Linked DNA regions of Danio rerio. The protein of the gene in region 1 interacts with the protein of each later gene in a pairwise test. Links are inferred from orthologs where the notes say so. Each region holds a gene or a part of one and is shown on either strand. Other genes may lie near its edges.

The links.
Region 2: the proteins of appl2 (region 1) and cradd interact in binary tests that used the Homo sapiens proteins (3 or more experiments, as listed by UniProt). The two-hybrid records come from large-scale screens. The link is inferred for Danio rerio from reciprocal best matches to the Homo sapiens genes APPL2 and CRADD.

What each region holds. Positions count from the first base shown.
Region 1 is NC_133200.1:6,422,609-6,426,443, reverse strand, and holds part of appl2 (DCC-interacting protein 13-beta), read left to right. Parts: intron 1-784; coding exon of another isoform or gene 785-826; intron 827-924; coding exon of another isoform or gene 925-938; coding exon 939-983; intron 984-1,995; coding exon 1,996-2,142; intron 2,143-2,262; coding exon 2,263-2,345; intron 2,346-3,835. UniProt on the Homo sapiens protein: Multifunctional adapter protein that binds to various membrane receptors, nuclear factors and signaling proteins to regulate many processes, such as cell proliferation, immune response, endosomal trafficking and cell metabolism.
Region 2 is NC_133179.1:19,005,473-19,009,407, forward strand, and holds the start of cradd (death domain-containing protein CRADD), read right to left. Parts: upstream 2,720-3,935; 5' UTR 2,527-2,719; coding exon 2,220-2,526; intron 1-2,219. UniProt on the Homo sapiens protein: Adapter protein that associates with PIDD1 and the caspase CASP2 to form the PIDDosome, a complex that activates CASP2 and triggers apoptosis.

The DNA.
Region 1 (3,835 bases):
GCGTTTGACATGCGGTGACACGCAGTCAAATATTTCGCCGAACAGATCAGCAACTTTCGACGCTCATAAACAATCATAACGTTCTCGTGCTGCAGGAATTAAGAGGTCTGCTGAAGGTGACAGCTGTCGTGCAGTGAGGGGTTTGCGTCTTTAATAAACTACAACAGTTTGTGTTCACTGAACAGTAAGAATGATTAATAAATCCATATGAAACAGTCCTTTAAAAGTTACGTCTCATCTTTAGTTTCGGGCTTTGCACTTTGCACTCACACTACAAGCGTACCGCGCCAAAGCCCAAGTGAACCGCGCTCTGGCACACCTCTTCCAACCGGGCCAGTGCTGGCCAACTGAACCGCGCCTGAGCCTGATTCAGAGCACTCACACAGCTCGGTTCACTTGGGCACTACGCTTGTAGTGTGAGTGCCGAAACTAAAGACCTTCACGGCCAATAAAAGTTTCATTTCTGTTGAGTTGCAAATCAGCGCTGTTTAAGAACGTGCTCAACAGCGCTTACATTTTAGCAGGAAATGGACGTTTTTAAAATTACGGTATCGATTGGTATCAAATTCCAGAACCATGACAACACCAGTATATATCAGTGTTTTTTATTATTTTGATCTAGCTGATGTAGCTTGCCTTTAAAACTCTCCAATTATTTAGTTATAGTTATTTTCACTTATATTGCTACTCTTTTTTTTATATTTATTTATTTTTTTTACATGTGTTTTTATTTCACCAATGAGAAGTTGATGAAGCTGAGATGTGTGTGTGTGTGTTTTTTTAGAGATCAGCACACTGAAGGAGATTTTCAGCATCGCCACTGATGGTATAAAGATCGTAATATAATTTTATTAAAAGTGGATCACAGAAAAATATTTCTAGTACAAATACAAATCCTTCCCCTGTCTGTGTTGGTCTCCTCAGAGCACGAAGCCGCCATGGTGAAATACAGCCGTTTGCCTAAAAAAAGAGAAAACGAGAAGGTAAATGTCAATGCTGAGCTGTTAAACTGAGCTGAGCTGTTTGTGTATGTGTTGTGCACATGTGTGTGTGTGTGTGTGTGTGTGTGTGTGTGTGTGTGTGTGTGTTTAGTTATTTATGCAACATTTTGAAGACCAAATATCCACACAAGCATGGGAAAATGTTTACCTTGTCATTTTTACCGTGCGTGTTTGATTATTTGATCTCCACACAACCATGGTAAATCTGTCATTTTACCATGCTTTATTAGATATTTGGTCTCCACACAACAGTGTTAAAATCTGTCATTTTACCATGCTCATTTGGATATTTGGTCTCTATACAATTATGGTAAAATCTGTCATTTTACCATGCTTCTTTGATTATTTGGTCTCCACACAATCATAGTAAAATCTGTCATTTTACCATGCTTCTTTGATTTTTTTTGGTCTCAACACAACCATGGTAAAATCTGTCATTTTACCATGCTCATTTGGATATTTGGTCTCCATACAACCATGGTAAAATCTGTCATTTTACCATGCTTCTTTGATTATTTGGTCTCCACACAACCATGGTAAAATCTGTCATTTTACCATGCTTCTTTGATTTTTTTGGGTCTCAACACAACCATGGTAAAATCTGTCATTTTACCATGCTCATTTGGATATTTGGTCTCCATACAACCATGGTAAAATCTGTCATTTTACCATGCTTGTTTCAATATTTGGTCTCCATGCAACCATGGTAAAATCTGTCATTTTACCATGCTTCTTTGATTATTTGGTCTCCACACAACCGTAGTAAGTCTGTCATTTTACCATGCTTGTGCGGATACTTGGTCTCTGAAATGCTCAGAAGCATGGTAAATCTATCATTTTTACCATTGTGTGTTCAGCCTTGAATTTAAACAACTAAAATATGTTTGTCTGAAAGTGAAATGCATTTGGTCAGTATAAACACAATAGAAGTGAATAGAAAGTCCCCAGAATTCACTAAAACTAATTTACTGTGTGTGTGTGTGTGTGTGGACAGGTGAAAGCGGAGGTGGTGCGAGAGGTGGCGTATTCGCGCAGGAAGCAGCACCAGGCAGCAATGCAGTATTATTGTGCTCTGAATGCGCTGCAGTACAGGAAGAGAGTGGCCATGCTGGAGCCCATGCTGGGATACACACACGCTCAGGTCATACTCCAAACTACACACTAGTCTGATCAGGACTGTTTAATCCTGTTTGATCTGACTTTATATCTCGTTTATGAGCAGTCCAGATGAACGTTTATCAATCCTCTTTGATTTCCACAGATCAATTTCTTCAAGAAGGGAATGGAGCTGGTGTCTAAGAAGCTGGACAGTTTTCTCAACTCGGTGTCCAACATGAATGAGAGGTACCACACTTTGCTTCTTACTTGACCTACAGTCTGTGTGTGTGTGAATGGCTCTGTCCTGCGATTGGCTCATTCTGCTCTGTTCTTTGACTCGCTGCGTTCCACTCCACTTACACACACACACTTGTCAACTTCCCTTCACTTGTTCCCTCTGGGGAGTGCCTGCTGACATTTTAAAGTGTGTTCTACTTCATCAAGTGTATGAGAGACGTCAGATTGGAGCCTCAAATTGGACCAAGGGAGCGTGTCGGCTTTATATGTCTACTACATACCCACATGATTGCGGTTGTGTAACAGTGTAGTTCTCCAGTGCTCAAGGGTTTAGGGCATTACATTTAAACCCATTCAGATGCTCCACCAGTAGTGGACACTTGTGTAAGGTAATCAGTGATGTATATCAGAGTGAACGAGACTGAGGGAGGTTAGTGAGTGAAGGGGATTAAAAAAATGGACTGGAATGCAGCCATTGGCTCCTGTTCTGTGCTCTGTGATTGGCTCACTTGGTGTGCTTTCTTTCTGATTGGCTCCAGCTCTGCGTCTTTGATTGGATGCTGTGCTTGGATAGGCTCAATCTGCTCTGTCTCTGTGATTGGTTCACTCTGTGTGCTCTCTGTGATTTGCTTAAGCTCCTCGCTTTGTACTGATGATTGGCTTCTGCTCTGTCTGTGATTGGCTCACGTTCTGTTCTGTGATTGGCTCAAGATTTGTGGTTTGTGTCTATGATTGGATCACAATCTGTGATTGGCTCATTCTGTTCATGTTGCTGACTTGTACTTTGTGCTCTATGGTTAACGCATTCTGCCTTTTGATTGGCTAATTCTGCTTGGTGTCTGTGATTGGCTCACACTTTCCTTTGTGCTCCTCCTGTTCTGTGATTGGTTCTCACTCTGTCTCTCTGCTTATATCCTCTTTTGTGGTCTATGATTGGCTCTTTTTGCTCCATGTCTGTGATTGGCTCACGCTTTCCTTAGTGCTCATTCTGCTCTGTGATTGGTTCTCACTCTGTGTCTGTAATTCCCTGTTATGTAGTCTGATTGGCTCAAGCTCTGTGTTTATGATTGGCTCATTTTGCTCACTGTCTGTGATTGGCCCACACTTTCCTTTGTGCTCCTCCTGATTGGTTCTCGCTCTGTCTCTCTGCTTATATCCTCTTTTGTGGTCTATGATTGGCTCATTTTGCTCCATGGCTGTGATTGGCTCACGCTTTCCTTTGTGCTCATTCTGCTCTGTGATTGGTTCTCACTCTGTGTCTCTGTTATTTCCTGTTTTGTAGTCTGTGATTGGCTCAAGCTCTGTGCTCTGTTTATGATTGGCTCATTTTGCTCTGTGTCTGTGATTGGCCCACGCTTTCTTTTGTACTCCTTCTGTTCTCTGATTGGCTCTCAGTCTGTCTCTCTGCTTATATCCTGTTTTGTATTCTGTGATTGGCTCAAGCTCTGCTCTGTTTATGATTAGATTGACTCACACTTTGTGCTCTGTGATTGGCTCAT
Region 2 (3,935 bases), on another chromosome or scaffold:
GCCACAAACATAAAAATGTAAGTCAATCTGCATACTAAATAAACCTGACCAATCTGAAAGAATAATACTTTATAATACTAATACCCGATGTTCACATAGCTGTAATGATTTCAACCATTGTTTCAGCTTTACAGAAAAAAAAACTGGGAGTAAACTGTATGAAATAAATATATAATTGTATTTAAAAATAAATTAATAATTATTTATTATTAATTAATATTAAAAACTGTATTTATTAATTTGTCCTATCATTAATTTTCTTTTCAGCTTAGTGCTTTTTGAATTTATTAATTAATCAATACATTTTTTGGAAGAAAAAATGACGACTAACATATATTATTAACATAAATTAGAGAAAACGCCTACTAAAAATGTCATTCAGTGATCAATAGTTTCAATACAAAAAAGCTATCTTGCCTTAAATCAAGAATCACCTGATGATATATTTAAATTGTATATTCATTGATTACAGTGCAAACTGTTAAAGCTCAAATTCATTGTTCATTAAAAAACAAATTATACCTTGCCACTATTTGTCCAACCACTTTTGTCCCACAATTTTAATGTCATTTTATGATCAGTATTTTATTTTTGCAAGACATCACTGAAATACAAAGACTCAATAATGCCTGATAAAGCTTACATGACTTTAAATCAGTTTTGAATTTGTTTGTTTAACACGGACTTGCACAACAATACATTGACCTCAAAAGGAAATATGCTTTGTGCCAGGCTTTAGCAAAGATGCCATTTACACCTGCAGTTCTTATAGTGTATAGTGTTATCTGGTAACTTATTTTCAGTTAAATAACATCAAATGTAAAGGTTAATTATTGTTTGCATGCATATTAATGATGACTGTTAGGAAAACTAAGGACAGCTATAGTCACAAAACGTTCAGCATGTTTCACTTTGATTTCATTTTGTGGAGATATAACCCACATATGAGGACATTTAGGACAAAAAATACTGCCTATCTATCCATTCATCATTTGCAGCATTGTTTGCATAAAATAATGCAAAAGGTTCCCTGTTTTCAGACATCTTTATATTTATCACTGTAGTAGTTTTAACTTCAGATGAGTCTAAAATATTGAGAAATGAATATTTGGTGGAGTAATACTGAGTTTCAGTCACAACAACTGAAAATATATGTTATTCTCACAAATAGTCATGTTTCTGGGAATGCTCTAAATGCAAAACTTTTACTTAATATTTGAAACAGATGTTTTATAAAAATACTATAGTATTTTATACTGTATGGTGTATTCTGTTTATGATTTTAAAAAAATCTACAATATATTATAAAATGTTGATAATGAATACTACATAATACTTTAGATATAATGATCTGATAAAGTGCAATCAATTCTGTAGTATATTTCAGTTTATACATCATGTAAAGATGAAGTGTAATAGTTATTGTACAGTATTCAGTAATTATTTGATTATATTACTATAGCACAATATTAAAACTATAGATAACAACTATAGAAATACCACAACAGATTAATTTGAGTACTTTACTATAGTATGTGGCCTCATAGAATAAAATAAATAAGAATGTTTGACTAAAACTTCAAACAAATCTAGCCACACAGATTTTTTAAGGGGTATCTTAATAATTGAATTTAAATCTTTGTGTATATTTAAAATATGAGAGAAAATGTAGGATATTTGATGATATATTTCTTTCCATATATTATACAGTAAATACTAATATATTTATATGACTATTGTACAGTATACAGTATTTACTAATATAGTTATTATATGACTATTATACAGTATATTATAAATATGAGAGAAAATGTGGGATATTTGATGCCATATTTCTGTCCCATTTATATTTTACAGTATACAGCATACACTAATATAGTTATTATATGACTATTATACAGTATATTATAAAGATGACAGAACATGTAGGATATTTGAAGATATATTTCTGTCTCATTTATATTGTACAGAATACAGTATATTATAAATATGGTTATTATATGACTAGTATACAGTATATTATAAATATGAGAGAAAATGTTGGATTTTTGACTATATATTTCTGTCCCATTTATATTGTACAGTATACAGTATATTATAAATATGGTTATTATATGACTATTATAAAGTTTGATATAAAGTTGAGAAAACATGTGGGATATTTAATGACATATTTCTGTCCTCTGGATGTTCAGTCAGTTTCAGCTCTTAGGACTCACCTGTGAAGGGCGGAGGAGGAGACTCTTCTTCCTCGTTTAGTTGCAGCAGTTTGTCTCTGATCCAGGGAAAGTCTTTCTCCAGTGACTTTATGAAGTGATGGAAGGCTGTCGCTCCGCGGCTCGGTAAAATATCCAGCAGCTTTAACGTTTTATTTCTGCTTGACGACTCAGACTGAATCTCCTCTAAATGGCTCTCCGTCAGTATCTCCTCTTGATATAAATACTGAATGATTAAATCGTCCACTAAAAGCTCCTCGGACAGAAAAAGCCGCTGTGTTCGGAGCAGTTTTTTGTGTTTTGGGTCCATACTTGAACCCGGTGACCGAGTTAAAAAGCCGTTGTGTGCTGAATGTTAACCACAACAACAGCGGCGAATTTCTTCTCTAAGCAAACAATAGCTGTTGTAAAAACGCATAGAGTAATGTTTATGAATATACATGTTACAGAAATATTACAATGTACATTGTTGTTATGCTTTTCACATGATTTTTCCTTGTCATGTCGCATTAATTTTTTACCGGCTGGAAACGAGTCTCTCAGGAGGAACTACTTTTTTTGGCAGGCTTCATTGCTGCATTTGACCACAAAAACTACTCCTAATTGTGCGAATTATTGTGTAGAATTGTAACCGAACATAATCCATAGTTGTATTTTTTATTATAGCCTAATTATTTGATCACTTTATACACCCTTAGAATTAATTACGTTTTTGCGGGTTATTGATTAAAACATTAACAGGCGTCATCAAACGTTATTCAATTATTAATGCACCACAAATCTAAACGTTTGCTGCCTATTTTTTACAGTTATCATGATTATTATTTATTATTTGTTTATTATTTAATATTACAACAATGCAGATTCTACAGTTTATTTATTTTATATTACTTTACGGCAATCCATTTAAAATAGAAGCAAGAATAGATGGAAATCATATTATAATCATATCATATTTTTACCATTAGGGGAGAGTGTGGACAGTTGCAACACTTTTTGCATTTCCTTCAGTTTCTCGGAGACAGTTGTTTGTGGACATCCTTGCTACTTTTGACATTTTTATTTAATATTTTTCCCTGACACATAAATTTGGGCTACTAATTTTTGAACCGTTATTGTAAGTTAATTTGTTAGATAAGCTCTATATTTGGCTTTAATACAGACTAATCTAATGTATATGCACAAATATAATATTGTAAAGCATCCTATAAAAAATATTAATTTAAATGAGAGATTTGTGGGGGGTGTACTCGTATATGCTGAGCACTGTATGCAGAATTTAATCTTGAACAGACAAATCTATACAATGCAACTGACCCCAAGCAGGCGGACGTTTGCAACAACCCACAGGGACAGTTGTAATAATAAAAAAATTCTAAAGCATCAGGTTGGATTTTTTTAGTATTTTTTTGGAAAACAGACTAAATGCAAATTGGTTAAATTGTTAAATATGTTAATATAAATACATATAAATACAGACTATTAAAACAGCAAGCAACAACCAAGTATCAGGCCTAAAAAAAGTGAACAAAAATATTTTATTACTGAAAATCTTTACTACACTACTTCTTTGAGCTTCGAAATGAATTAGTTAATCAAAAAATTCATTTTTTCGAATTAAATTACATTGAAACTATGATAAAATTAAAACTGTACATTGTTAATATGACAAGCTTTTAAATGAATTTTATAATTGGTGACAGTTGCAACTTCAACTCT